Linked DNA regions of Elephas maximus indicus. The protein of the gene in region 2 purifies or fractionates together with the protein of the main gene of each other region. This does not show direct contact. Links are inferred from orthologs where the notes say so. Each region holds a gene or a part of one and is shown on either strand. Other genes may lie near its edges.

The links.
Region 1: the proteins of CTNNB1 (region 2) and SMAD3 purify together in Homo sapiens (affinity purification with western blotting; 6 studies listed by BioGRID, with this or other methods). This does not show direct contact. The link is inferred for Elephas maximus indicus from reciprocal best matches to the Homo sapiens genes CTNNB1 and SMAD3.
Region 3: the proteins of CTNNB1 (region 2) and BTF3 purify together in Homo sapiens (affinity purification with mass spectrometry; 3 studies listed by BioGRID). This does not show direct contact. The link is inferred for Elephas maximus indicus from reciprocal best matches to the Homo sapiens genes CTNNB1 and BTF3.
Region 4: the proteins of CTNNB1 (region 2) and PARP1 purify together in Homo sapiens (affinity purification with mass spectrometry; 4 studies listed by BioGRID, with this or other methods). This does not show direct contact. The link is inferred for Elephas maximus indicus from reciprocal best matches to the Homo sapiens genes CTNNB1 and PARP1.

Annotation. Positions count from the first base shown.
Region 1 is NC_064831.1:57,135,860-57,143,246, reverse strand, and holds the start of SMAD3 (mothers against decapentaplegic homolog 3), read right to left. Parts: upstream 3,058-7,387; 5' UTR 2,540-3,057; coding exon 2,334-2,539; intron 1-2,333. UniProt on the Homo sapiens protein: Receptor-regulated SMAD (R-SMAD) that is an intracellular signal transducer and transcriptional modulator activated by TGF-beta (transforming growth factor) and activin type 1 receptor kinases.
Region 2 is NC_064838.1:45,680,676-45,688,467, reverse strand, and holds the start of CTNNB1 (catenin beta-1), read right to left. Parts: upstream 3,058-7,792; 5' UTR 2,863-3,057; intron 1-2,862. UniProt on the Homo sapiens protein: Key downstream component of the canonical Wnt signaling pathway.
Region 3 is NC_064820.1:77,740,871-77,748,478, forward strand, and holds the start of BTF3 (transcription factor BTF3), read left to right. Parts: upstream 1-4,599; 5' UTR 4,600-4,693; coding exon 4,694-4,825; intron 4,826-5,160; coding exon 5,161-5,229; intron 5,230-7,608. UniProt on the Homo sapiens protein: When associated with NACA, prevents inappropriate targeting of non-secretory polypeptides to the endoplasmic reticulum (ER).
Region 4 is NC_064842.1:16,085,129-16,093,115, forward strand, and holds the start of PARP1 (poly [ADP-ribose] polymerase 1), read right to left. Parts: upstream 3,049-7,987; 5' UTR 2,839-3,048; coding exon 2,719-2,838; intron 1-2,718. UniProt on the Homo sapiens protein: Poly-ADP-ribosyltransferase that mediates poly-ADP-ribosylation of proteins and plays a key role in DNA repair.

The DNA.
Region 1 (7,387 bases), on a different chromosome or scaffold from region 2:
CAAGCAACTGGGTTTCGCTAACTGGGAAAAGATGAAAAAAAAAATCCACCTTAGCATCGGGTCCTTGCCAGGCGGGTAGGAGATGCCCCAGTCTAACAGAGTCCGCAGAAAGCCAGGGAGAAAGAAAGAAAAAAAAAAAAAACAGAGTCCGAAGAAAGCCAGGGAGAAGGTTAGCTTAAACTCTCAGAGACATCCAAAGCGTTCACATGCGTTGAGCTACAGAGGATCCTGAAATCAGAAAAGGCAGGCCACACACAGCTATGTCTCCACAGAGGGCAAGCTCCCACCAAGGCAAGGAAAAGCAAGGCTTCTCCAAGCTGTTATCAGCCAGACGATACAACGAGAAGAGTAATCTTTCCAAGGAAACATCCACAACCTCCACCCAGCTAACCTTGCTTTAAGCATTCAGCAAAGGATTTATCCAGAAACTTCCAAGTACACAGCAGCACAGAGTAACAGAAAGAGTACCAGGTTTGCTGAGAATCCCAAGCCCTCTATGCCAAGCCTTTTCACTTCTCTCCTCCAAAGTTTTCTCAGCTTTAAAAATGAGATAATCTTCAGCATAACTGCTTTATTTTCCAGGGGTTGGTTGGTTGCTTTCTTTTAAGTACTTCATAAAACCATGTGAAAGTGCTCTGTAAACTGTAAAACACTTTCTCGGCTATAATTGCTACCTTTTCTCTGCTTCAACTTGTGAGAAGGTGTTCTCAGGGCACCCTGGACAGGTAAGGAGAAGGCAGGTTTTGCAGAGCCGTCCTCAGATAGGAGAAGTAAGACACCCTCCCCCAACCACAGGAATAAAGAAGAATTCAGAACCGGAGCTGGGAGCAGAACCAGGTCTCTCCGACCAGCCCATCACACCACCTCCTCTGAAGTCAGTTCTGGCTCCTGATCACACACCCAGCACACACTTCCCAGACAGCACACCGCCTTCCCTCCCCCCTTTATTGACTGGATCCACCCAGTTTAAAAAAAATTATTTTTTAAGTCAGCGCTCCCACCATATGTGGCATTTATTTCCAGAGGAGGCCTGCTCTGGGATTCCGTGGACAGATGTTGCTTTGTGCCTGCCTGCCACGGCTGGCAGCCCTCGCACAGCTGCCCCAAGCAGGTGGCCAAGGATGGAGTCCACCCCTGGCCTTGACGCAAGGATGACAATCCATCTGGGACTCTGGTCTTGGGGCCCTCAACTCGTTCCTCTGCAGCCTGGGGCTCCCCACAACGCCCCACTACCCCTACACACACACACACACACACACACACGCACACACACACACTCCCCAGGCCCTTGCTCAGAATCAGACTTCAAAGGGGGCTGGGAGGGAGAGACGGGAGGTCAAGCTGCCGCCCCCACCCCAATTCCCTGCCAGGCGCAACTAAGCTAATCGAGGGTCCAGGAAGTGGAGAGAAGTCAGTGACCCCTTCTATCAGCCATCTGTGAGCTCCCGCCCGACACAGCGAGCGCGATCCGGAGGATAAAGGAGGTCCAGACAGATGGTAAAGCGCTTTGGGAAAGAGGGCTCTGCAGGAATGCGAGGGCCTTGCGAGGCCCACTTTGGGGTGCGTTTTGTTATCTAGCCGGCTCTGTTCTGCAACGACCTGCAATCTGCTAGGCTAAAAGGAGGGCAAAATCAGTGCGGGGCCGGGCGGTGCAGGGCGGGGAGAGCAGGACGACCCTACTCTCCGCCACTGGTCTCTCCTACTGGAAAGTCAGAACAGCGCACTGCAACTAAGTGCGTGTCTGCGTGCGGAGGGGGCGGGAGACTGGCACAACCGAGTCTAAAAATACTCGATAAAAATGCTAATCCCGAAGGCAAACAGAGAAAGAAGAAGGAATCTGTCAATCACGAGCTCCTGCTCCTCACCCACAGCCCCGGCTGTACGGACTGCATTCCTGCTGAGGAGGAGAGGGGGGACAGGGCTGAAGAAAAGAAAGGGAGACACACCACCACCTCCACGAGCGCGGGCCGCGGGGGCGGGAGGCAGCGGCAGAGGAGGGGCTCCGGCCCGCCGAGCCGAACAAAGCGGGCCTCAACTTCCAGCCCGCAGCGCCCCGGGGTGGGGGCGGCCAATTCCAGCGGCACCCCCTTTTCCGGGAGATGGAGAGCGAGTGTGGAGTCTGGAAGCGAGAGCGCCGCGTGGAAGCCCCAGGCTCTGAATCTTTTGCAAAGCCAGAAAGGGTTTTATTTGGGGTCCCCTCACCCCCTTCCTGCTGGCGCCCCAGCCCCCCCCTTACACACACACACAAACACACCCTCTCCAAATGCACCCAGCCGACCCTGCGCAACAAGGGGCTGGGCCCGGCGCGCCCCCCGGGGCCCCGGGGCCCCCACCTGGGGATGGTGATGCACTTGGTGTTGACGTTCTGCGTGGTGATGGCCTTCTCCAGCTCGTCCAGCTGCCCCGTCTTCTTGAGTTTCTTGACCAAGCTCTTGACCGCCTTCTCGCACCACTTCTCCTCCTGCCCGTTCTGCTCGCCCTTCTTCCAGCCCAGCAGGCGCTTCACGATCGGGGGGGTGAAGGGCAGGATGGACGACATGGCTGGGGGGTGGGGACGCGCGGGCGGCCAGGGGCGCCCCCGGCGGGGCTGGACGCGGCGGGACGCCGGGGGCGCAGAAGGGAGTTCTGCCGGGGCCGGCCGCGGCCGCCCAAACTTCGCCTCAACTCTCCGCGAACTTTCCCGTGTGCCGGGCCGAGCCGCGGCGCTGCAGCCTGCGGGGCTCGGCGCGCGGCCCTGCGCCCCGAGCGGCTCCCACGGCGGGGAGAAGGGCGGCAGGAGAGGCGGGCGGACGACAGCGGCACCGGTTTGAGCAGGCCCCGAACGCGGGGCAGAGGCGGCGGCCGGGAGACTCGGAGTGGCAGAAAAAAGTTTGGGTTTCCGCACGGGGTAGCAGTTTGGGTGCCGCCTCCGGGAAGGAAAGTCCAACCCCCGAGCCAAACTTTGCACTCCTCGCTCGCTTTGATGCGCAGATCCCTCCGCCTCTGCGGCCTCGCCTCCCGGCTTCCCTCCTCCTCCGTACTCGCTGCGCGCTCGCTGGGCCGGCCGGTGCCTGCGCCGCGCTCCCGCTCCCGCCCGCTCCCAGTCTGTGTTTCATGCAAATCCGCGTGCAGCCTCCTTTCCAAACCCTGTCACCGCCCCCTCGCCGCTGGGGCTCTCCGCCTCCTCCTCCGCGCCCCACCGCCTCCTCCCCGGGCGCCCTACCCGCCCCTTGCTCCGGGGAGGGCGCCCAGCCTGCCCCCGCCCCGCGCCTAGCGAGCCCACGTGGGCGACCCGGGCTGCCGCGGCCCCGGCTGGAGCGCGCGGGCGTCCGCGCGGCCGCGACCCGAAGTCGGGCAGGCGCCGGGAGGAAGTCGTGGGAAAGGAGCGGCGAGAGGGACCCCAGGCGGGAGGCCCGGGCGCCGGCCCTGGCGTCCCCTCTCGGAACCCACACTCGGGAAGCTCTGTTGGAGTTGCCGGCCGGAGAGGGCTGGGCTTGCAGCAAGTTGGCGCCGTCCCGCCAAGGGCTAGCGGTGCACCCGAGGACCCGGCCCCGAGAGGGGACGCACGTAAGGCCGAGGCCCCGCGCGCGCTGATCCCGCTCCGAGGCCTTGGCCGGCGCGGGCGACCCGGGTGCTGTTTTTAGTCTCTCATCGGTGAGATCACACCAGCTGAGAGTCCCGAGACTGAGTGCGGAGGCGAGAGCTAGGGGGTAGGAGGGGACTCTCAGAAGTGGAGATTTGGGGACCTCAGGGACTCCTCGGACTCTAGCTGAAGCCAAGGGTCCCTTGGGCCCTGGGAACCAAGTGCCCGATGGAAAGGACCTCAAAGACATCTATCTGCTGAGTTGATGAAGGAATGAAAGAAGACGGTTTAGAATTTACCTTTAGGGGGAAATTGCTTTACAAGGTGTTGTGGAGTCTTACACAGAAAGATCCGAAATCCAGCAACCAAGAAACAGAAGACAGCTTTGTTTTCAAAGCAGGGGCCTCAGAAAAAAGTGGCGCAGAACGGGAGTAGTACCCCAGAACTTTATTATTCAAACTTATCCTGGGTGGGAAGCAAACAAACTCTGGGGGAGCTCCGGGGCTTTTCTCGCCACCTGAGTGATTCAGGGACGTTTGACCACAGGCCCCTCAGCCGCTTTCAGGAGTCACCACAGTTCCCCAATGCCTACGGCCTTCTCCCCCGACCCTGCCCCTAGCCCGGTGTCTAAAGCCTTTGTTTGTTTTTAACAGCAGGAAACGCCCGTGGTGAGAAAGAAGTTATCTGCAAACCCTCAAGCGGGTGGGGAGTTACAAAGCCCAGTGAGGTGTGGCCGCATCCACAAAGTCAGCCCAGAAGGTGCAGGGGCCCTTGCCTTGTCACAGAGAATGGCTTCACCCAAGCCTGTGGCTTCTGCTCCTGGGTACTGCTCTCTGTCCTCCCCTCCTTCCAAAGCCTGCCCTGCCCAGACCTTAAAGATGCCCTGAACCCCCACTGGAACTTAGCAACCTGGTTCATGTTCCTGGTTGGTCCTCCTGCTATAATCCACTGCCACTGTGGTCTTAGGTTTCACTCCCTTCTTCCCAGCCCTCAGTTTCCCCATGGAGAAAGAGAAAGAAGGAAGACAATCTACTTTTTTTTTGTCAACCCAGGTTGCTCAGGTGCTGCCGTCTGATTTAATCTTCAGGACAACTCTTGAGGTCGATCTCACTGTAGCTCACAGGAACCTGAAACACAGTGAGCTTGCCATGCTTCCTAAGCGTTCCAAGTAGTAGAGCTGGGATTTGAACCTAGTGCTTTGTGAGACCTCAGTCTACATTCTTGCCACAGCACCCAGCTGCCTTAGGAAGTTATGGAAGGCAAAGTCACATGACTGGAGGTGCTCTTTGCACAATGAAAGCTCTTTACAGGGGCACACTGTTGTGATACCCCAAGAAATGTTTGCTCACCTGTAAAATGAGCCTAGAAATACCTTTCCTCTCAGCCTCCTAGAATGGTTGTGGGAATCTAATATGAAAAAAGGCTTTGCATATGGTCAAGTGTTACAAAGCGGTAGAGCCAACATCTCAGGCCCACAGCTGATGCCATTAAGAGGGGGCAGGTTGGGAGCTCAGTTCATTAGTCAAGCATCTATTGAGCACCTCTGTGTTGCAGTCCTCCTACCTAGTTCTAGGAGAGCCCAAAGGAAAGATGAAGGTCCCCAACCTCAAGGAGCTCACAGCCCAGAGAAGCACCAAAGGGAGGGGTGTGCCTCCGTGGGCAAGAATGGGAGTCACCATCTCCCAGTAAAATGATCCTTTTTTCCTGAACATCAGACCAAGCAAGTCCAACCTTTAAGAGGCAGCCAGATGAAGTAAAAAGAGGTCATACTCCATCCATGACTAACCTGGTTCTGAATCCTGGCTATCTCCCTCCCTTCACTTTGCTGAGCGTCTGTTCCCTCAGCTGTGAGAATGGACCAGCGAGCGGTATTTATTGTCCAGGATGGTGAATCTAGAAAGTGTTAAAATCCTTCTTCAGTGCAAACCCCTGCTGAACGGAGGTGTTGTGCACTTTGGAGGTAAGTCTCAGAGGCAGGAATAGTACTCTCTTCAGGCTGCTATGTCCCCACCTGAGAGATTTGAGGACTGAATGTAGGAGAAGGGCCTGGCAATGTACTCTAACCCTTATGGGAACCCACTGCCTTTGAGTAGGTTCTGACTCATAGTGACCCTATAGGACAGAGTAGAATTGCTCCATAGGGTTTCCAAGGAGTGGCTGGTGGCTCTGAACCAACCTTTTGAATAGCAGCCGAATGCATAACCACTGTGCTGTCTAAAATCATGGCATTGGAAGGGGCACTTGTTCAGCCTTCTTCGTTTCCTGATGGGAAGAAATAACTAGTCAACCATCTAGTTGGTGTGGCTGCATCACACTTTCCTGTGCCTCCTCTCCGTTCTGGTGTCCGTGTGGCAGGGATAGCTGTGCTTGCAGAAAAACTACTGGACCCACGTGTGAGTCCAATAGTGATGTTTCTGGGCTAGTTGTTTCTCCCCTGACCTGGTTCTCCATCTGAAGGGTTGGGAGAATAAGCCCAGTTTCTCAAAGCACTGAGGAGGGCCGAGAAGTTGATTCCTCCCAGTGCTGAGAGCCCCCTGTGTGCTTTCTTGACTCTTGGTGATGAATGGGTGGGCGGCTCGCAATAGATACGCACCCTGTTCTGGCACCCAGTCTCCTGGGGCCCAGCCAGGCCTGCTTCTGCAGAGGTTGCCCTTGGAAGAGAAACATTAGCCCGGTTAATATTTCATCATGGTGAGTGCAAAGTTCAAGAGAGGTGGGTGGGGGCAGAGGCAGCAACTCCATTTTCCTGGGAATACTTAGTTCTATTGGGGAGGAGTCTTGCAAGCAGGGAGCAGACATGACAAAGGGCTTTCATGTCTTTGGAGTGGCTCCCAGGTGCAGTACTGGAAAGGAACAAACACCTGACTTCTGATTATTTCTCCATTAGTGAAAGGATAGTTAACCAATAAGTGGTGAATCTAGAAAGAGCATTAAAGTTGTTCTCCTCCAGTGCAGGCTTCTCGTTTTACACAGGAAGTAACATCTGATGAACGGAGGCCTTTTGCACTATGGAGGTAAGCAGCCGAGTCAGGACGAGAACTCTGTCAGGCTCCGTCCCCTCACCTAAGAGAGAACTTCTGTCTTCAGTTAGATTTCTCTCTGTGAGCTCTCCGGTGGCAACAGTCAGATCTGGGTTAAGCTTCTAGTGCTACCACGTCTAGCTGTGTGACTTTGGGTGAGTTACTTAACTCTCTGCGTCTCAGTTTCCTCATTCATAAAATGGAAATAGTACTAACAGGATTGCTTAGGATTGCTATGAGAATATAATGAAATAATGCATGGAGAATAGCACAAGCACACAGTAGGGACTCCGTAGACATAGATGTGGTAAATGCATACCACGGGGTACTTTGCAAAAGTTAAGCAATGGGTGCAATGTACACAGAGCAAATGGATGGATCTGAAAAACAGTGCCAAGTGAAAAGACAGAATGAAATAAATAATAAATACTGCTACATAGGTAAACTTAAAAAAAAAAAAACCCAAGCCCAGTGCCATCCAGTCCATTCCCACTAAAAATACTTACACACTCAACTATTGTATACAGTTTGAATTATAAAAAGAAAAAGTTACACTCAAAACACAGCAGAATGGGTGTTTAAGAGTGAGTGTGTAGGGATTGGGGGAAGACTAACAGGGACATAAATGAAATTGTAGATCTATCTATAATGATATGTACTGAGGAGCATGAGTGACTTAACCCTCTGCTCCAGAGTTGCAGTGTTAAAAAGGTGCTTGGCACAAGTTAGTCAATATACTAATTCTCCAGTTTGCTCAGAAGACAGAACCTTTGGCTCCCAGCAGTTTCCAGCTCAGCGATCCCGG
Region 2 (7,792 bases):
AAAAAAAAAAAATGGGCTGTAAGAAAACAACCAACTTAACACAGTGTTTTCAAAAATAATGTTACAAGTCAACATACAGCACTAGAAAATAGTTGCCAATACTTTCACCGGAAGTTTGTCTTGCTCTAATAGCCTTCATTCTTTCCACCTTGAGTTGGCAGTCAAGCGTGCTTGTAGCCAAGCTCAAAGAACAGACTTAAAATTTACCACCTACTCATCTATAATTATTATCAGCAACTACTAAGCCAGGAAAGGGAAATAGACTCATAACTGGACAGATGCACTGTTTCATTTCAATAATACAAGTTTCATCTAGATAAATATACTTACACAGTCCATTTCTGGTGTTTAATTTCACTGCTACTGATAACCATGTAAGAATGATATTCAAACTTTAGATTTCTCCATGGCCCTAGTTTCAACATTCGACTTGTCATGCCCCTCCCCCCGCAACTAAACAAATAAAAAAGATATCCACAGATAGTTTTTCTAAACATCACATCTCAAAATACATTTGGGGAAACTTGCCTACTTCATGTTTTCCCTTCTATCCTGGATAACAGGATTTATGAAAACAAGCATATGGAACTCCATTTACGACAATTTTTACTCCAATCATCACTAACAGCAGTAGAAAGCTCAATTCAAAGTTCAATAAGTTTTAATACTTGAATATAAATTTTTCTACAAATTAATCTTGGTAAATGAAGTAATCAGGTTAAAAAAAAAAACTCTTGACTGCTTCTTGACACCTCTATATTGTTAAATGCTTCATTTTTTATTAGCTACCTTGTGGGAAAAAAAAGTGTTAGTTTTCCCTTACAACTATCGAAAATGACCGTTCTGGCCTCTGAAAAATTCTCAGGCCTAGGAAGCCACAAGGACTCTAAGTTACGTGCTACACTGAGACTTTTAGCGCAGTGTTTTTTTATTTCTCCCTCAAGGACTTCAAACCTGAATAGTCTCTGCATTCCTTTAATCCTATGGAACAGTCTTCTTCAAGTTTTTCAAGTTCTTCAGTTACTGTTGCAATCACTTTAGGGCCTTGTCCTTGTACATGGCCTTCAGAACAAAGACTAGGTCAAATTAATGAATATTGGGTGCAAATTAATCAAATTTTGTCTAGTCTGAAAGGAGAGTCTCAAATAAACATTGATGGTACTGTTTTTTTTTAATCCAGAGGTTTTGTGAGTTTAAATGTAGAAGTAAAACAAATGTAGCAGCAGACTTAGATCACACTTAAAAGAAAAGATTCCAAACAACACATCTTGGTCACTCATTTAAGCAGGAAGTAAATAGCAGCAGACCTTAATTAGCATTTCAAGTTTTATCTAACATTACTTTCTCAGGATGAAGACAAGGCAAGGAGAAAACTTCTCTGAAGGTATGAAATGTTCACCAAGGGACAAAGAGTGAAATGGCTTCCTAAATTCCAGGCAAAATACTTTTCTAACTTAGCAATCTGAAAAAGATTAGCCTAGACTTTATCAAAAGAAACGCTGCCGTCTCTTCAAGTCGCTGTCTAGTCTAAGCCACCGCTATTCATGATACAAAGCTCTCATTTCACTAAAACCACTCCTCGATTTCCTTTTGCCGACCTCTGCATACCAGCAGCCCAGTCTCTCTTCATTCACCACTCACAAACTCAGGGGGAGGGGAGACCACAGATGTCTGGAAGATACAAAGTATGAGACAATGCTGCCTCCAAAAGCGAGCAGAAAACGAAGGAAACAACTACAACAAACTGCCAAAGCTTTCGAGCTTAGCCGATTGAGAAGCGGGCTGTGGGAACTCCGAAAAGTCTCTGTTCAAAAAAAAAAGCCTTTCCCCCAGACAAAACACTGAAAGGAGTTGCCGTGCTTGAATTACACTTGGCCAATTTCGTAGCTGGGGAAAAATTCTCTCTGCTGGGGGGGAAAAATGTGCTCTAAAAATAGTTTAATTATAAAACTATTGGAATAAAATGCTTTTACGAACAGATTTCTCAAAACAGAGGCAAAGTCCCACACTTCACTTTACACTAACAGTCAGCCCGTCGCCCTCGGACTCCCCCCCCCCCCATTTCACTGGGTCTCACACCCACCTACATAAACCCAAGACTCCCAGTAATATCCCACGCGTCCTCGCTGGCTATCATTCACCTGCCCGACACAAGAAAATTTAGGTGCAAGACACAAATCTTACACGGGCAAACCCTGCTGGCGCATCGCACCGGCTGCACTGAAGAGTTTTGTTCCTCTAAGGCTTAAAGTTGCTTCAATTTTAACAAGCGCCAGTGCCAAACTCGCACAGGCATTAGAAAATAATAATTTTCTTATTCTCCTTGGGAAAGAAAAGGGGACTCTAGAAAGCCCACTGGCTGTGTCCCCACCGCAGGAGCGACCTAGCGTAGCGCCCCTTCCCCAGCGCCCGAACCCCAACTCTCGACTCGGGCTGGGAAGGCGGAGCCCCACCCCCGCCCCCCACCCCAGCCCCGGCGCATCCCGAGGCCCAGGGTCCCTCCCCCAAACTCGACCGCGGCCGGAGCCCCGGACGGAAACCACGGCCCCCCCAACCCGCCGGCCATCCGGGCTCCTGGACGCGCCCCCCGCGGCGCCCCCTCCTCCCCCAAGCGGCGCCCCCCGGACCGCCGAGGGGCAGCGCGAGCGGAATCGGGGCCCGGCCGCCGCCCTCCGTCCACCGGGCGCGGCCCGTCGCCGCCGCCTCCAAGGCGCCCCAGCCCGCGCCCCCCGCCTCGGGCCTCCGGGCTGCAACGGGCCCGGGTCCCCTCCGGCTGCCGGGACCGCGCGCCCGCGACGAAGTTTGGCTCCGAAGAGGGAGCAGGAGCAGCCCCGGAAGGGTAAGGAAAGGAGCGTCCAGCACCTCAGGGGAACAGGCTCCGCCCGCCGCGGGAGTCCAGTAGTCCTCGGCCTGCGGTGGCGGCTCGGCGGGGACTGAAGCTGCTCCTTGGCCCTTCCACAGTTTCCGTCTCCGCCTCCCCTCGCTCTCCGCTCCCAGGGCCGGGCTAGCGCAGCTGCCACAGACCGAGAGGCTTAAAATGGCGCCTCACAAGGAGCTCTTATAAGGGGCGCAGCAGCGCTGTATCCTGCCGCCGCTGGCGGAGCATTCCGCCACGCGAGGACAAGGGGCGGGGCGCGGGCGGGCGGTGGAAAGTAGTCCCTGGCAGCCTGGCCGCCCGCCGCGTCCCCAGGGCCCCGGGCCCGGGCGGGGCGCGCGCCCTCCCAGACCATCTTTAGGGTGCAGGCCGGTAGTTGCCTCTCCGCGCGGGAGCGGAGGCCGTCCCGTGGGGGCGTTATGGCCTGAGGCGGAGAGGCCGGAGTTCCTGCGTGCTGGGGCGGGGGCAGGGCGGCACCGAGGTCTCCCACTGTCCCGAGCCCGGCGCCCCCGCCCTGCGCGCCCACCGGAGCATGAGAGCCGACGCCGGGCTCGCCGCGCGCTTTTCGCCGCCCGCCCGAGGCGGCCCCTGGGCCCCGACCCTCGGGAGCTGTGCGGAGCGGGCAGAGCCGGGTCCCCGGAGGGTGGAAGTTCGAAGCCGAGGGGTGGCGGCGCGGGCACCGGGGTCGGGGCCCGCCTGCCTTCGAGCTCTGCCTGGGCGTCGCCGCCGCCGACCCCGCTGCCCCGCTGTCCGTCGGGGACTCCGGTTGTGGTCTGTGCCACACACTCCCTGCCAGGCCAGGCTCGTAGCCCAGCTGCACACCACCCCAAAGCCCCCCACCGTCAGGATCGTGGATCTCGCATCCCGACCGGCTGCGCAGCCTGAATCCGGATGGCAGCGACCGGGCCGAGCCGCCTTCCATCCCACTACGGGAGGCTGCGCTCTAGATTGTGCGCCAGGTCTGCAATTCAACAAGTCCTTATGAGTGCCTACTGTGAACAAATGACTAATGGAGATAGATTAGCTAGAGACAGTCAGTTAGGTTAATTCTTATAGATTCCAATTTTATCTGGTTCCGCTGTGCTAAGTACCGGTAGATTTATTTGTGGAGATTTTTCTTTGTGGGAGGTGTATTTCAACGGTGTTACATGAGAAAGCGAAGTATGTTGTTTACGGAAGGAGTTGTCGACTAGACAGCCTCTAATTTTTTTTTTAAGCTAATTTTCTTCAACGACAAAAACATTTTCTAATTCGTTTTGATAGGCTGAAGTTGGGTCTTCATCTCCCTTGGAAATGTCCCCATTGTAATCCAGCAAGATTGGCATTTGTGAAAGCTGAAACAATTATTATCGACTCACTTTCTCTAGTCTATTGCTTTATGCTTATTTTTCATCTAAAGCAATGAAGAGAGTACAAAAAGCAACAGTGAAAGTTATGTTGGGGCTTTTATACCAGAATTATAATTAATGCATGCAAACAAGAAGCGTTTATACATAGGTACAGGCAGGAAACCTAGCCTTACTGGTTCACTCAAGGAGTAGCACTGGTAGTTTTAGCATAGCTAATACTTCAGGGCCAGTAGGTTAAACTCCGTTCTGCAGTTTTAAAAAATACTTTATTATATACAGTTATGATAACTGTCGTCTATCGCCATAGCCCATGTGGGTTCCTGCAATGAAAAAGTCCAAGCCCTAAGATGATACTCAGTGAGATCTATTGTCCAGAATGACTTTATCATATGCAGTTTTGCTAGTAATCTGTGGAATTAAGTGTAGCTGATGCTTGTGGTCAGTTCAGCTGGTCGTAATTTAGACAATTGGAACAGAAAAAGGTATTTAATCAAAGCAATATTTCTAATATAAACTCAGAAGTATAAATGGTATTTCCAGGTATTAATCCCCAATTTTAACTCTTCTGTACAGAGTTAAAGAATTTAGGGTTGATTTGATTACAGTCATATGTCTTAAAATCAGATGACAGATTAAACAGTATTTAGAGGGTTTTTTTTAGCAGATGTTTGCTTTTTCTATGCTCAGTTTATTTTTGCTGAATAAGGCATGGTGTTAACACTGGCGTAAGAAATATTTGCATCATTAGACAATCTAAAGGATAAAAATACTCTTAAATTTGTATGTCTGTATTCAGGTGCCAAAATAATCCAAGCATTTTTCTCTAAATATAGAATTAATGTTTTTAATCTGTTGATACTTTAAGCAAACACATGTTTTTAGAGGAAATGATAAGATTTGCAGCAATGCAGCAAGCAGTTTTTCCCGTCAGATGTAAGTATACTGAAGAGTTATTGGGTGACTAGCATTAAAACAAATCAGTTGAATTTAACAAATTTCTCCGATTACTTATTTCCTCCTCTCATAAAACAAATTGTTCCAATTGTCTCATCAAAAATATGAGATGACTTCTGTGCAATGAAGATAAATACTATCATTAAACCAAAGGACAAGTATCGAAATACCTAATGAGTTGGTGAAATAAGTGATTTTGTAAAAAATGATTTTTAAAAATTGACTTTGAGCAAGACATTTCATAAAAAAAAAAAAAAAACCCTTGATTATCACCTTTTCCTTGTAGAGCCAGCCCACTTGAGTTTGAGATAAATTAATTCGTTCTGTGAGACTGCAACAGACAAATGGTTCTAAATTTCAGCCAGTGTCCCTAGAAACCCAGCACGTCTCCAGCTGGTTTAGCAGTGGAGGTATTATTGTGATATTCGACCATTGGCAGATCAAGCAGTGACTACACAGAATCGAACGTAAAGCATCCCTTTGCTAAAACACATACCTTTGAATCACCTTTAGGCAAAGGAATAAATGCCCAGAGATTGTTTTTGCACTTGGGACAGAAGCATTTATCGAGTCAGCATTGTGAAGAAGGCCAGTTCACTTTTTGGGTGGTTAACTCTATCAAATCTATTAATTAAACACTTATTGAGCACCTAAGACAATGAGGTTCGTTTAGCAAGAAGGAAACAGATGACTGGATCTTTTGTATTAGATCCTTTAAATTAATAATTATAAATGTTAATCAGCACTACTTGGAAATAGAAACAGAAAACAAGAGCTGTGAAATCAGGGTGTGGTCTCTGGACTCTACATCCGAATTCCCTTAAAAGGAATCCCCTTAAAAGGAATCCCCCCCCCCAACAAAAAGACTAAATAATAGTCCGTGCTTTTAAAAACAGTAAATCCCCACTCTCTAGGAAGGCACATTAAAAGTATTTATGACAACCTGAAAACACCAGACAATAGTTAGGGTCAGTTTTTCATTTAGCAGTTCGTCAAGTGGGCTATTTATGGACTATTTTTGATTTGCAATACATCATCTCAGGGTTCAGTGTTATCTTTTGATTTCGTTCCAGCTCAACAGGCTAAGTAGTTGTAAATACCTCTTGTCAGACTACATGGTTGGCTATTCTCGCACACACAAGTAATCTGGGAACCCACTGGGCAGATTTGGCGGAGAGTCAGTGTGGAAAGCTTGCGTCTGGTGTGCATTTCAGATCGAATGAGGGGCCGTGAAGGTGGTGGAACACGATGGTGGTGGTGGTGGTGGTGGTGGCAGTAGCGTTATGTTCATGGCCTCTTCAGTTATGCCAAGAACACCCTTCTGCTCGCAGTTCTGTGTTCCGGAGGCCTTCGCTGGTTTGGCAGGACATTCCTTGCCATACTGAGGAAGTACATTTTAATGGCAACCATAGAAAGTGTGAAGGACGAGAAATGGAGACATCACCCATGATATTCAAAGAACACAAAGGTATCTGTTTCTCCATGTTGCTAAGTACTAATACAAATACCGCCACATCCCTAAGAAATCATGCTTTGGAGGCACCGTCTACCTCCCAACACACACACGCACACACCTCTAATAAAAATTTCAAAATGGTTGCAGATACTTCATTCACAGGAAGGTTAAAGGCGTTTCCCATCGCAAGAAGGATTAACTTACCGGAGGATTCTGGGACTGCAGATGTATACTGCGGCAAAATCCTAAATTCATCGAAAAAAATGATTTCTGGACTCCAGCTGCTAAAAATAATAGAATTATGGTAAATCATGGATAAGATTAAAACAACAAGCCATTTTCACATTCCAAAGTGTTCAGGAAAAAAAAAAAAAAAAAGATTCTTTTAACTCATTTCTTAAACAATGCAAATTTTAAAGTAGCTTTTCTTTCCAGAGCACGCAGCGCCATGAAATCGATAATTTTTGATCTTTCGGTTAGTAGGCAACATGGTGAGCTGTTGCAAGGACTGCAGGCAGCAGACATGTTCTTGTCAGCTAAAAATTTTCATATTGTTTTTGAGTCCATTGAGATTTGTAGATACGATATCACCAGTTTTTGTTTTAGCTTGCGCTAGGCTATGGGGACGCAAATCCTCAGTTTATCGACATAGACATGTCTATTGCTTTATATATAGTAAAAACAGGGAGTCTTACTGGATCTTAAACAAAAAATTATGTAAAAGGAGTGGCTGGTGTGATTATAATCCCATCATGCAGGGTCCACGGTTCCCATTTAGTGAAATTTCGCAGAGGGCAACTTCTTAAGAACATCCCTGCTGTGCAGAGTGAAAAGCATGAACCAACCAAAGACAGAATTCATCTGTGTTTATATTTTACAAACAATGAAAAACCTACTCTTTGTATGCCTTTGTTCCCCCACCTTATTATTTCATGAAAACTGCAGCATTTTCCCCACCCCCATCCAAACACTCACCACCCCAGACTGCAGTATGCCGTCCCTTTTTTGCTTCTCCTTCACCTTCTTTTCCGCTTTCGCAAATTCTGCACGCGCCATCTTTGTGAGGGGTGATGCTTTGCTAATTTCAGTTACCCTTATTCTCTTACAAATCAGTTCAGAAATAGAAAATTATAGTGCACGTTGGGGGCTTAATTTGCC
Region 3 (7,608 bases), on a different chromosome or scaffold from region 2:
ACATAAAAGATTTCCAAAAATAGATGCACTATGCTCATGGATTCATGGATATGACAATTTAGGCTAAGTTAGATTGGTCGTTAGCATCCATTCCAACTTCTTTCAAGCTTGCTTATAAATTTAAAAAGTTAAAAATGACATTGCCCAGACTACTTTGCAGTTAGTGTTCTAGAGGTAAATTACTTCTGCCAATTAGGTACTTTTAAGTAAAATGTGGAAGGTGGAAATAAGGCTTCAACCTTCTTCCTGCTGTTTTTTGTGGGTTTTCTTTGCTTTTTTGCTGGCAGGCATAATTGTGTAGGTAGTGTTATTTTCTGCAGCAGTTTCCAAGTGCAGTCATTAGCTTTGTGGGTGTTGAGTAGTTGTTGTTACAGTATCTTTTTCGATCCCCGAATTGCAGCAACAATGGTGTGTTCTTAACATCAATAATTCCCAGTTGTGGGGTCCTGGTTCTCCACTGTCCTCATGGGGGCAGTGGCAGCAGCTCCCCTAATAGGCCAGTTCTACAATATATTATCCTGAGACTCATTTCTGATGACCCAGGCTAAAGCCCACGTCTCCAGCCCTTTAAACAATTTTCTAAGTACTGACTCCCTATGTTAAATCCCTACATATTCAAAACTGCCAGATCTATTTCCTACAACAGAACAGATTCATAAAGATGAGTCGAATCTTCCCAAATTAGAAAACATGTCAAACTTTCCCAAATTAATCTACCCAATCAATTCAAAAATTTAAAAATTGAACAAAATCTAAAATCTATATGGAATATAAATGTCAACTTCAAAAAAGAAAAGAGGGGGGTTACCCTATCACAAATGAAGAATATCGCATCTATGTATTAGTAATTAGTATTAGTGTATGGAGGTACTTTATTCTTTCTACTTGTATGTGTGTGAAGTTATCCACAGCAACCTGAAAAGATTATCCTATCTAGAGTTCAAGAGAAGGCAGGGTTGGAATGATAACTTGGGAGTCATAAAAATAAAGATCGCATTTAAAGTGATAGGATCAAACAATTTAAGAAGAGTGTAGATAGAAAAGAGAACAACGGAGACTAAAATGTGAACAATTCTAATTGAGGAAGATGAAGAGAGTAGACTGAGGAAATGCCGGTAAGGTAAAACAAGGGAAGTGGAATGCTTTGGAAGCCTGGAGAAGAAAAAGTTAGGGTTAGGGTTAGTGGTGGTTGAGCGTGTTAAATGCTTCTCAAAGACTAAAATGAGAACTGAGAATTTACCTTTTGGATTTGGCAAGATGGAGGTTTTTAGAACAGAGGAGCTGTTTCAGAGGACTGGAGTAAATGAAAACACATTTACGGCAGACTGAGAGAGAATGCGAGGAGACAAAGTGGAGATAAAGGCTTTAGGTAATTCTTTGGAGAAATTCTGTTGTACAGGTGAGCACAGAGTATTGGCCAGAAGGGAACATAGGTTAAAAGTAGATTTTTTGTTTTGCTCTCTTTTAAGATGCCTAATACTAAGGCACGTCAGTGTACTGGTAGAATGATCTAACGCAAAGAGAGAAAACAGCATTATAGGAGAGAATAACAGATGACGCAAGGTCCGGAATCTCATAAGCCAAAGTACAAGCAGGCAGAATATTTCTTCTATGTGTAACAGGAGTGAAGGCAGTATTTATAGGTTTAAATACATACAGGTCAGCAGGCAGAGGGAAGATGAGGTTGTTTCTATTTTCATACCTTTTAACCCTCTAAGTCTCAGTTCCCTCACTAGTAAAATGGGAAGTACCTACCTCATAAAATTTATGTGAGGGTCAAATGATCAAAGAGCAAGCAGTCGATATTAACCTGGTGGGAAATTGTTCTTTAGACTCCTAGTTCAATTTGCCACTAATTTACAATTGTCAATTTCTCATTTTGCATTAATAAAATACCACAATTAAAATAGCTATGATGGATAGGTAACTTAACAGGTTTGGAGGTGTTAGAGAAAGGTTTGCTGAGACATTTAAACTGACAGCCAAATGATATATAGGCACTAACTTGACAAAGATAGGGGTGCTAGAAGGAGAGTTCAAGTAGGTTTAGAAACAAAACAAAATTAAATGTCCCTTGTGGCTACCAGGAGCCATGGTGGTACAGCGGTTAAAAGCCCGGCTGCTAATCAAAAGGTTGGCAGTTTGAATGCTCCTTGGAAACCCTTTGGGGGCAGTTCTACTCTGTCCTACTGGGTTGTTATGAGTCAGAATTGACTCAGTGGCAACGAATTTTGAGGTGGCTACCAGGAGAGGGTCAGCCAGACCATGAAGCAACTAAAAAGCACGGCAACATTCACCCTGAGTGATTTCCCAATACCTCTTGTGGGCGGGAATGTGGCTCAATGGCCCATTAAAAGTAAGTATAATATAAAGTGAATATTTTCTTCTTGCTGAAGGATACTGAAGTCCAACTGAGGGGTGAAAACCATTCCTGGACTTTGATTAGACCATAAACTATAAACCAAAGAGGGCAAAAAGATTTCACCTTTCTTGCCAACTCTTTTGACAGAGGCCATCTTGAGTGTTGAGTAAAATGATTTTTAGGCTTGTTAAAGTGCAGCAGTCAAGCGTGGGAGGCAGTTATCCACATTTGCCATAGACATTGAGAGCACATGGGAAAAGGCAGCAGGTGAGACTCTTTCGCTATCCCTGAGCTAAGACCTCAACTTAGTAACAATTTTGGGGGAGTGAAAAAAAAAAAATCCTATCACTTATTGTTGAAAATACCTGTATATAAATATTAGCAGATTCAGAACTTTCTGACCACGCACAAAATAAGCAGAAGCGGCTAATGGAGTCAAAAGTCAAAATTTTCTTTTCTTACTAATAAGAAGTAAATCTATTAACCTATTTACTTCTTACTATTAAAAAGAAAAATCTTACTACGATTTTCAATGAGATTCTTAAAAATAACAAAAGAACAAGAGGGAACATTGTGAACCAAGAGGAAAAAAAAAAAAACAAACCTGGAACGTTTCCTAAACACAGTTGTATAAGAGGTAAGTCAGGTGGCAAGTGACATATTTAAGAAGTCTGTGCTTACATAAAAGCTCAGAAAACATGAGATGACTAGGGAAATTTCAAATGTCCCCAGTATAACATGGAAGAAGGGAAAAAGCTGTTCCTCAAACAGATATATACAGTCCTTTCAAAACGGGCAGTATTTCTCCATAGCACAGAATAGCTGTCAGTCATTTTGATCTTCATCTTTATGACTGTGACCCACATAGCCTAACACAACAAACATCCTTTTCCATACTAAACTTGACTCATATTTAATAATAGAAGCAAAATTATTTTTAATTGAGCAACTATCAACTGTTACACTAGCCTAAAAAGCAATACAGCTGTTCTCATCAGTTATCTCAATGGGACATTACAGTTTTAACATTCCTTACATGTGAAAAGTACTGAAAAACAAAACGAATAATCTTAATTGGAGAGGAATCCACACAAGAATTGTCTTCTATATAAACTGTATTCTTTCTAGCTAAGATTTTGGGCTGACTTTTGATTGGGAAAAAGCATTTTATAGCTAAGACCACAAAAAGGGTGTCGAAGCAGCATTTTTATTAAACAGTCATTTTTAATATTGGTGGGTTTATGGTAGATTGTCTTCCAGCTTGTACAGGCGTTTAGCAAATTTACCTCACACCCAGAAACCTAGATCCTCCAACCACACCGGGTACAAATCCTCCTTTGAATTACTTAGTTAAGAAAGATAATGTTTGTTCAATCGTAAATCGCTAATTGTCAAATCCACGCCAAACCGATACCAGGGAGTCAACTTTTTGCCTGTGAAAGGAGCAGGAGAAACAAAGTAATCACGTAGACTGGATTAAGCTGGTCAGCCAACTTGCTGAAATGCAGATTACCAGGTCCCACTCCCAGCCCTACTGAATCGTTTTGAGGGGCAGGATTTGGGGGTGCATTCTGAACATAAAAATTTCCAGAAATTCTGAATCATGGTCTCACAATCTACCAAACCACCTAATCTGGGAAAGCAAAATTAACTTCACTGTTTTTGACGTTTTGGCAGAAGCTCATTCGGGCTGAAGGGGAATTTCTAAAACACTGAGACGATCGTTTGAATCTACACAGTTCGGGGAGCGGAGAACAGCTAAAAAGCGAGCACACAGCGGGCGCCAGAGGCGTTCCCCGGAAACACGAACAAGAACTTTCTTCTTCGGGAAAAGAACTTCGGGATCAGGATCCGACGGAGACAGGACGGACTTACTCAACCTTAACTGTGCAAAGAACCATACTTCTGACCCCTCTGTAGCCTTTCCCCGGCCTACTCGGGAAGCCTCTAGCCCAGAGTCTCTCGCTGCAGGGCCAAAAAGAGAAGACCCGCGTGGCCGTCACAATCGCCGCGGCGCAGGGCCGCGCGTGCGTACCGAGGCGCCGAGCGCGCGACCAAGCCCGTTTCCTGACTTTTGGGGGGAAGTGGCGTTGGGTCACTTCCGGCCTCCCTCTAGCTGCCATCTTGCGTCCCCGCGTGTGTGCGCCTAGTCTCAGCTGGTCTGCCAGAGACCCCCTGGGCGCCAACCTTAGTCCCCCGCGCGGCCCCATTTCCGCTCCGACAAGGTACAAAAAGGCTCTGGACGCCGGCGTGGGAGGAGGACGGGAGCGGGGGCGGGAAGTTCCCGAAAGGAGCAAGACAGGGAGGGACAGGGCTCAGGAGAGGAAGGCGATGCGACGGACAGGCGCACCCACTCAGTCTGACTCTCGGGGGCGAGGTCGAGCCAGGGGCGGCTGCCCTGGGGTCGAGGCGACGCCGTCTCTTCCTCCTCCTCGCGGCGGAACCCGAGGACAGGAGCCTCAGGTACCACGAGGCTTGCTGAGAGTGGCTGGGCCGGGCGGGCCCTGGCTAGGCCAAGGCCGGGCCAGGGCCGGGGGTGGGGGATGCTGACTGGGCTCGGGTTAGAGCCCTTGTTCCCGGGCCGCAAAGAGCGGGGCGTTCCCGGGGACGGGTGGGGGAGGTGGTGGTTCTTTAAGCTCCTTCAAAACTGAAATTGGGAGCTTTGCGGGGTGGATTCGGGGATCCAGGCCTCGGCCTGTGTAGGACATTTACTCCCCTGCTGGTGTCTTGGGAAATAATGAGCGTGGAAGGCTAGAGTGAGCTAGACCTTTCCCGCTGAGGGCTTTCTGTTTTCCTAGATGAAAGAAACTATCATGAATCAGGAGAAACTCGCCAAACTGCAGGCACAAGTGCGCATTGGTGGAAAAGTAAGTTTTAGTGATTTTCTTTGGAAGATTTTTTTTTTTCTTTCACATTTCTGGTATGGTCGATTTGTCACTGTCTCCATCAAGGGTTATTTACAGAGCTAGCAAATGGGGGAGGGAGTGGTGAGATAGATACATAGTAGACCTGTAGGTTGTATATTTGAAAAATGTGTAACAGGCAAGTCAAAATTAAAAGAACGCTTGCTTACACTGAAAACATTGATATTATGTGACTGTATTTGTGTTTTCAGCGTTACAGTGCTTGAAGTAAGAAAGGGGCTTGCTAATTTGATTAGTAAGAAAACGTCATTTCAATTAGATTATCGTTGTGGACATCACACCACATTTGGCATTTATTTTGGCTTAAATTACATAAAGTCGATGCTTGATTTATGTTTATGTATGTAGAGAGAGGGTGAAACTTGGAAAAGTGGAAATCTGTGAAAGAAGGAAAAGTCAAACACCTTTCACCAAAACAAGTGATAGAAAAGTGGTCAGATTGCACCGTCCAAGGTGGAAAACTTCTGAGACCTGGAAAAACAAGGAAATCCTTGTGGAGTTTTGGCTCTCACAGGTTTTGCTCTATGTGTTTTAATTTTACTATGCTAACTCTGAATTTGTTGATAAGTTTCATCTCCTTGCAATTGAGAGTTTATAGTTTAAGGTTCCAGGTAATTGCTATACTTAATAGAAGTTTGTCAGTTGAGACCATTGCTTTCTGAGCTACATGCAGTCCAGGATAATTGTATATTTCCTAGGCTGTTTGAAGATAGGTACATCTTGGAGTTTAAAAGCAGTGGCTATAGATTTGAAAATGTTACCTGAGTAGATGTCTTTCAGTTTTTAACTTTGTGATTATGCTGAAACTGAGGGAATGGAAGTGATTGGTAGGGTTTTAAATAATCAGTATTGAATTAATTTGTTTTTCCTGGTAGATATTGATCATCTTTAAGGGGATTATTTTAATGAACTTGACAGGTTTCTAGCATGTTCTATGTAATTTAAGTCAGAAGTCCATCCTAAACAGAGGTCTACCTAGCTGCGTTGTACGTTGTGTTGGCACATTCCTAGTATTTAACAAGGTGTGGTAGCTTGTTGGAACAGAGCATGTCTTTACTTGGTAAAACTTGTAAAGCTTCATTGTACAGGTTTATTGCTTCTCAGTTTTTCTCACTTTAAGCATTTACTTTCAAGTAAAGGAGCCAAAAGTTGCACTTAGCCTCTCTTAAACTACTGGGTTTTGCCAGTAGTGAATTTATCCTGTTTTTTTGCTGAAGCTAGTAGTCTTCGAGATCCACACATCCCCATTAACAACAGTAGGGGTTTTTGTCCTTTTTAGCAGTTGCTGTAAGGTGGCCTTCAGGTGCCAGAAAAACCTAGCAAATTCTTTGTGGGTCAGGGTTTAAATGTTCTTATATTGTTGTCTTAAGCCACATTCCTTTTAATACAGATTTCAGAATCAGTAACCTGAATAATGTTCTTATGTGCAGTCTTTTTGTTACTCTTATTACTAGGCTTTAACGTTTGAGAGGCATCACTGGAGGGTAAAGGAAACGTTTTTGGAAGTTTTCTTAAGCATACTTAAAAGATGATGTAGGAGTCAACTCTGAATTAGTTATATAGGGAGTATTTCTGTAGTCCTGGGAATATGGAAATAGGATTTTCTGTACCTTTTGACAAATTTACTTCTTATGGGATGAGAAATTAGGTGAGCTAGTTTTGCTTTAGAGAAAACTTTGAAGTACTTTGGTGGTAAGTGGTATAAAGGACATTTCATTATCTAATCAGCATTGATGATAACAATTATTTCAGTAAAAATTTAATTCTACATATGCGAAGTGTATGAAAACTACAGGAGCAGTGCTGGGTTTTGTTTTTAGAATCTTATACTAAGTAGTTCCTTAGAGTCTTTTGGAAAGGACTCTCTGTAAACCAGATATTTACCTGACCACTTCAAGGTGATATAAGTTTTTTGGGGGTGTGGTAAGCAGGTTTTTTTTTTTTTTTTTGGTAGCTATTGATATTTTCTTCAGTTAAACTGTGATGTATTTAAGCCCTTACTTAAATGTAAAGCCCCCAGGGGGCTTTTAAGCCTAGTGGGGGGTGGATAGTCATTTTTTTTTTTTTTTTTAACCTCTTTTCACAGTGTGATAAATACAGTGCAAAAGAAGCATTTTCAAAAAATATATAATGATGGGGATAAGTTGATGTGGGGGGTATCTGAAGAGTTAAGGAATGCATCACAGAAGTGGTGAAGAGCAGAATTTTAAAGGAAAAGTGGAATTGGGGTGGGCATTGGGAAACAGTGGTGTGAAGCTGAAGACTCAGTAAGTGCTGGGTAGCCTTTCCATGAAGAGCGTCGTGTTTGGGACCATCTAAAGG
Region 4 (7,987 bases), on a different chromosome or scaffold from region 2:
GTTTTTCTGACGCTTACATTCGTTATTAGGGGAAATACTAAATTTCATCTAGAGATTAGTAAAAATAGGGATGTAAAAAATTTTCCCACACCAATTCATGGATTTCTTCTGAGTTCCAGCCACCATCCCACAGACCCTAGGTTAAGAATCCCTGCAGAATCCTTGCACTGAGATGGGACTTCATAAGAGCAGGCTCCCCATATACTGAGGGTAAAATTCAAAACCTCCTGCTATCATTGTTAGCTGCCATCACGTTGGCCCCAGCTCACGGTGACCCCAAGTACGATAGAAATACTGCCTGTGGCTGTGCCATCCCCATGATAGGTTGTGAATCTCACAATGTTTCCTTGTAATGAATAGTTTTCACTGGCTAACTGGCTAATTTTCGGAAGTAAATTGCCAGGTCTTTCTTCTTAGTCTTTGTTTGGGAAGCTCTGCTGAAGCCTGTGCACCATGGGTGACTGTGATGGTATCTGAAATACCAGTGGCAAAGCTTCCAGCATTACAGCAACACTCAAGCTACCACAGTATGACAAACTTGACAGACGGGTAGTGGCTGCACACGAGGTACACTGGCTGGTAATAGAACCCAGGTCTCCCTCGTGGGAGGTGAGAATTCTACCACCGATGCACCAATGCCCCATTCAAAGCCCCTTAATGGGAGAAATGGCTCTTCAAATTGCAGGTCCAGGCTACTCCTCTATCCTCATTTTCCTGTGCCCCACTTTTGTACACAATGACTCCTTTTCAAGCTCCCACACTTTGCGCGACCTCTTGGCCTCCTCTCTTGGGCACACAGTTCCATGAGGGGGATACCACCCCTGACCAGCAGTGTGTCTTTATGTTCCTAGCACCTAACACAGTGCCTGGGACTTAACAAGTGCTCAGTAAATGTTTACTGAATAAATACATATGCCAGGTACAGAACTAGGTAGGTCCTGAGGATGCCAAGATAACCACCTCAGTAACTGCCATATTATGAAATGAATAAAGTACACCTGGCACTGGGTACCCACTTCATTAATGTGTACTGTCTCCCACACCTCTACCCCATAAGTCCTGAATATCCAGTGAGGGCTATGTGGTCATTCCTCACACACACTCCTGTCTCGCTGCAAGGGAGGAAAACAGTTAACTGATGCTGAGCACCAAGCTAGGTGAGAGCCAGAATTACATCAGCAAACTGTAAGCTGGAGCAGGCAGGAACCCCCAGCCCTTAGCAGGAGCATTAAGACACACCACCTCACAGTACACTCCAAAACCCCTTAGGGCACTGAGGGGGAACCCCTGACTGGTCAAAAAGCCCAGATGACCAACCCTCCCAGAGCCACTCTACACATAGCAGACAGCTGTAAACGCATTAAGGGAACATCTGTGAACCTGGGATATATTATTTTAAAACATATGTGAGACCCGCAGGGCGTGTACTGGACAGAGACTACACCAACTTGCATAGTTTTGCATAAATTAAGATTCAAAATGAGGGTGAGCAGGCCGCTGACATGAGAGCCAAAAATAGATTTAAAAAAGAAAAAAAATTCTCCCATGTCAGCAGCCAGCATCAATGTAGGACAAAAATCTTCCAGCACAAGGTAGGTCAAAGTTAGGCTAGCTTCCAGTCTGAAAACACTATATACTGTACCATCCTAACCATATGGACATTCTGGAAAAAGTCAAGCCTACAAGCAAAGTGAAAGGGGTTGCCAGGAGTCAGGGAGAGGGATGAATAAATAGGTGGAGCACAAGGCATTTTTAGGGCCGTGAAACTATTCTGTACAATGCTGTAATGGTGGACATATTACGCATTTGTCAACACCGACAGGAGCGTACATACAACACAGAGTAAAACCCTAACGTAAACTACGGGCTTTAGTTAAGTTTATCAACATTGGTTCATCGTCAGTAACACATGTACCACACCACTGCAAGGTGTTAATAACGGGGAGAACACTGTGCAGCGGGGAGGGGATGATACGGAGCTCTCTAGTCGGTTCACTTTTTCCGAAAACCTAAAACTGCTCGAAAAAATAACGTGTTAAAAAAAAAAATCAGCCTAGTTTCGAAAGACCATATCTATTTTCCCCCCTAAGGCGGACAGTAAAAAGAAAAAACAAGAGCTCTTCCGCCCTAAACAAGGGCAGAAGCGACTTTTAAAAATCAAAAGGTACCAGCAGCCCCAGATTTCCCGGGTTTTTGCTGCAAGATCAACAAAACCGTCCGGGAATGTCCCCGGGCGGGCCACGCAGCGCGCGAGGAATGGTGGCAGCAGCGGCGCCCACAGGCCCAGGCCAGCGGCTCGGGCGGCCCCGGGCCCTGCTCGCCCCTCCGGGCCCTGCTCGCCCCTCCGGGCCCTGCTCGCCCCTCTCGGCCCTGCTCGCCCCTCCGGGCCCTGCTCGCCCCTCCGGGCCCTGCTCGCCCCTCCGGGCCCTGCTCGCCCCTCTCGGCCCTGCTCGCCCCTCTCGGCCCTGCTCGCCCCTCTCGGCCCTGCTCGCCCCTCCGGGCCCTGCTCGCCCCTCCCGGCCCTGCTCGCCCCTCCGGGCCAGCTCTCCAGCCTGCACCCTCCCCAACCCGCCCCTTCCACGTCTGAACACTGCGGGGGCGAGTGGGGGGTTCGCGCTCTCAGGGAGGGGCTGCGCCCGCCGCTCGACCCGCTCGGTACAAAGCGGCCCGCGCCGCCGGGGCCGCAACGGACGCCCAGCTCGGGCCTCCGGGCCGCACCTGCACCATGATGGCCATCCGGAGCGAGTCCTTGGGAATGTTCTCCTTGCACTTCTTGCAAGAGGCGCGCCCGCTCTTGGCGTACTCGGCCCGATAGAGCTTGTCCGAGGACTCCGCCATCCTCCTCCTCGTGCCGCTGCAGCTCCTGGAGCCCGACGCCGCCACCTGAAGACACGCTGCCGCCGCCGGCTGCCGCCGCCCCGTCCGCCCCGCGCGTGCCTGCCCGCCCACCGCAGGCGCCCCAGCGCCCAAAGCCGCCGCCCCCGCCGACCACGCCGCGCCGACCACCCGGCGCTCCCCGATAGATTGCTGATGCCTGGCCGCGGGAACGTCCCCGGCGCCTGCGCTTACGGGGCGGGCGGGCAGCACGCGCGCGCCCCCTGCGGGTCGCGGGTGGGCGGTGTCTCCTGTGCGCCCGAAGCGGCGTTTTCTGAGCAGCTGCTGTTTGCCAGAGGGGGATGGTGGTGGGGCTCGAACCGTCTGTGAAGGACCAGTCCCCTTCCTTTTACCCATTTTGTCTTCCAGAGAAGCTTACTTGCTCTTACTACTCTAATTCTACCCTCTAAAAAAAAAAATCTTCTTTTTTCTTGCCCGTTTTATAAGGAGCCCTGGTGGCGCAGTGGTTAAGTGCTTGGCTGCAAACCCAAAGGTTGGCGGTTCCAACTCACCAGCCGCTCTGCGGGAGAAAGACATGGCATTTGGGTTCCATAAAGCCTCGGGTACTCTATGGGGCAGTTCTACCCTGTCCTATAGGGTTGCTATGAGTCAGCAGGGACTCCATGGCAATGGGTAGCCCTTTTTCAAGTGTGTCCTCTTGCCCGCGAAGGGCAAGTCTGTTCTGGAAGATGCTGGGTGGCTCTTGAATATGACTGATCTGTTGTAGGGTGGACCGTGTGGTGGGAGGTCAACCCGAACTGACCCTTGGCGGGTGTTCTAACCTGAAGTCCATAGACCATTGGGACAGAAGACGAACTGAAATTCAGACTCTTGCTCATTATGAATTTAAATCCCAGGAGTATTAGCAATACCAGTATCTGCTGTTGAAGGGAAGGGTTGGGGGAGGATTCAGGGTGGGGTCACAGTGTGATATACAGTGTCACATACTTTCATATCACTTTATGCCAGTTGGAAACCCTGGTGGTGTAGTGGTTAAGAGTTCGGCTGCTAACCAGAAGGTTGGGAGTTTGAATGCACCAGGGGCTCCTTGGAAATCCTGTGGGGCAGCTCTGCTCTGTCCTATAGGGTTGCTAGGAGTTGGAATCAACTTGATGATAATGGGTTTTTACAGTTGTTGGAGATAATTCAAACTACTGTTTAAGTTCATCGGTACTTGCACGAGCGGTAGTTACTAGACCTCCTCATACCAAAACAAACAAACAAACAAACAAACAAAAAAACCCAAACCCGGTACTGCTGAGTTGATTTATCTTGTTATTTAATGCAGAGCTGAATTTTTTTTTTATTGTGGTAAAACATATACAGAACATAAAATTTCCTATCTTAACCATTTTTAAGTGTACACTTCAGTGGCATTAATTATATTCACAATGTCGTGCAACCATCACCACTGTTTCCGAAACTTATTCACCACCTCAAAGAAAAACGTTGTGCCCATTGAGAAAAAGCTCCTCATTCTACCCTCAGTCCACGGTAATTACTAGTCTACTTTCTCTCTTTATGCATTTGCTACTTACATTCCGTAAAAATGACATCATACAATATTTGTCCTTTTATGTCTGGCTTATTTCACTTAGTATAAATGTTTTTTGCAAGGTTCATCCGTGTGGTGGCATGTATCAGAACTTCATTTCTCTTTATGGTTGAGTAATTATTCCACTAAAAAAAAATTTTTTTTTCTTTTTTTTAATTTATGTACCACATATGTTTATTCATCTTGTTGATGAGCATTTGGGTTGAACACAGGAAATAGAGGGCCCCCCAAATCTGCAAGTGAAGTAACAGGAAATGGGCCAGGGCGCAGAAACAAAGCCATTCTCCAGAACAATGGGGCCCAGAATGGGGCAGGGTATCAGAAAATAGCCCACACATTTCTTTAAAGTTGTTTTTCAGAAGCAGCTGGAGAAAACCAGCCCCAGGAACATGCGCAGAACATCTACCTGTGACCTGCTGTGTGACCTTGCACCAGGGGCAGTGAGGGGCTGCAGCAGCAGCCAGGGAATCAAACGCTGGAGCGAGTGACTGCGCGGGCGCAACACCCCATCGTAAGTCCTGCTACAAATCTCAGAGGCCTCCAGGACAGGAGCTATCTTGGAAAGCTGCTGTGCGTGCACTGTAGTTAACTATCTCCGCCTGTGTTAATAAACATGAGTCTTTTACCGCCCAAGAACTTTTAAAAACCCAGCCTGTCTTTTGTTCTGTGAGACGGGGTATGCGTTGCTCTAGGCCATCCTCTTCTCTGCTTGCAAGCGTCTTCTATAAAGCTTTGCTTATGTGGAAAATTCTGCGTGCCTTAGCCTGTTCATTCTTGACCAGTGAGAGGCAAGAACCTTATTCCAGTAACGGGTTGTTTCTACCTTTTGGCCATTGTGAATGGTGCTGCAGTGAACATTGATGTACAAATATCTGTTTGTATCCCTGCTTTCAAGTCTTTTGAGTATATTGCTGGTATGGAATTGCTGTTAATTTTAACAAGGCGCCCTGGTGGTACAGTGGTTAAAGGTTCAGGCTGGTTGGTTCAAACCCACCAGCTCGCTCAGGGGGAGAAAGATGTGGCGGTCTGCTTCCATAAAGATCACAGCCTTGGAAACCGGGTGTGGCAGTTCTACTCTGTCCTGTATGGCCATGGGATGAGTCGAAATCTACTAGAGGGCAATGGGCTTATGGTAATTCTATGTTTAACTTTTTGAGGAACCACCAAACTGTTTTCCAGAGCAGCTCCTGACATTTTACATTCCCACCAGCAATCTCTCTACGTCCTCGACAACACTTATTTCCCATTTTTTTTCTGATAACAGCTATCCTAGTAGGTGTGAAGTGGCATCTCATTGTGGGTTTGATTTGCATTTCCCTTATGATTAATGATGTTGAGCATCTTTTGCATATCTTTTTAAAAGAATTGTCTATTTCAGTCCTTTGCTCATTTTCCATAGGATTATTTGTTGAGTTGTATAAGTTTTTTACATATTCTGGATACTAAACTCTTATCCGATGTATGACTTCCAAATATTTTCTCTCATTCCGTAGCTTGTCTTTTCACTTTTTTGATATGTCCTTTGGTGCACAAAAGTTTTTAATTTTGATGAAGTCTCATTTATATATGTTTCCTTTTGTTGGTCATGCTTTTGGTGTCGTATCTAAGCATTTATTGCCAAATACAAGGTTCTGAAAATTTACCCCTCTTTTTTCTCCTAAGAGTTTTATGGCTTAGCTCTTATATTTGTGTCATTGATCCACTTTTAGTTAATTTTCGTATATGTCATGAGGTAGGGTTTCAACTTCATTCTTCTGTATGTGGAAATACAGTTGTCCCAGTACCATTTGTTGAATGGACTTGGCACTCTGTTGAAAATTCATTAACCATAGACGTATAGGTTTACTTCTGGACTCTCAATTCTATCCCATTGGTCTATATGTCTATTATTATACCAGTACGACATTGTTTTGATTACTGTCGTTTTGTAGCAAGTTTTGAAATCGGAAAGTGTTTAGTCCACTTACTTTATTCTTCTTTTTCAAGTTTTCCTTGGCTTTTTGGGCCCCCTCGCAATTTCATATGGATTTAAGGATCAGCTTTTCCATTTCTGCAAAAAAGGCAGTTGCAATTTTGATAGGGATTGCATTGAATCTGTAGATTGCTTTGGGCAGTGTTGACATCTTAGACTATTAAGTGTATCAACCCATGAACACAGGATGTCTTTCAGTAGAACTGTATTTTCAATATAACTGGTTTCTTTTTTAATACTATATATTTCACTTTATATATTTAAAAACATTATTGTAATGGGAGGGTGCTGGATTTGAAAATATTCACTTCTTATATAGAGGACAAGAAAAACAGAATGAGTGAAACTCATAAAAAGTGTTAAGCACAGAGAGTAAAGAAGCTAGTAGTTTAAGAGATAATGAATGATGAGTAAGCAAGTAGGTTGTGAGATCTAGCCGGAGTCCATATGATGTGTTAAATATAGATAATAAATAAGTTAGTAACCTGTTAGATATATTAAATGTAGATAGAATAAATGGAATGTGTGACAGAATAAATGAAAGTTTAACTTAGAGAGTAGCTAGGTCAAAAGGTGTGATCATTCCATCTCTGGGTTGACAACTAGGCCATCCCTAAGTGGTCCGCCATTGATAATACCATTATGGCCCCATTCTGACTCTACATTTGCTCTGCCCAGGAAATACAGATAAAACCCATGTCTGTTCAGCAGGCTGAACTGTATAAAGATGGCGAGCTACAGCTGCAGTCCAGGCGTAGAGCAAGTGTGTGTAGGTTCCAGGTACCCTCTGTCTGTGGAAGCGCCTTGAGCACCCTCAGCTTTTGACCTCACAACCAGAGGGGAGGGCTGATGTGACAGGAGAAGAGGGAGAAGATATGAATATTAGGGTTCAGCTGATATGGTCCTTTCACCTGCTTGTACTCTTTCCAGGAACCCTGGTAGTACAGTGGTTAAGCACTTGGCTTCTAACCAAAAGGCCGGCAGTTAGAACTCACCAGCCGCTCTGTGGGAGAAAGAAGTAGCAGTCTGCTTCTGCAGAGATTTACAGCCTTGGAAACCCTGTGGGGCAGTTCTACTCTGTTCTGTAGGGTTGCTATGAGTCAGAATCGACTTTACAGCAACAGGTTCGGTTTGGGTTTGGTACCCTCCTCTGTGTGTATGACCAACCCCACCTGGCTCCCCTTGCTCAGGCTGTGTGTTTTAAACTGATTCAATAACCCTGTGATTCAAATATCTTAATTTCGTCTGTGAGGCTTTCTCTTCCGTGACTTCTGGAATAGCTTGCCTGATAGTGTACTTGGAAGCTACCAATGCACTGAGATAACTTCATACACAAAATCCATTCTGAGAAGGGGTTCATGGGCTTTACACACCACCACAAAGGTCCTTGGCACACACACACAAAAGGTTAAGAATTCCTGCCCTAGAGCCCTAAGGAGAGCCAATTTTCTTGCTCATCAACCTTACCCAATGCTTCTCAACCTCCTCTACTTCCTCTCTTGTACTGAATGTAGGAGAGAGCAACACAACTAGAATGCTTATAAAAAGATGTTTAATTGCACCATGTATCACCTAATTGCCCTTAA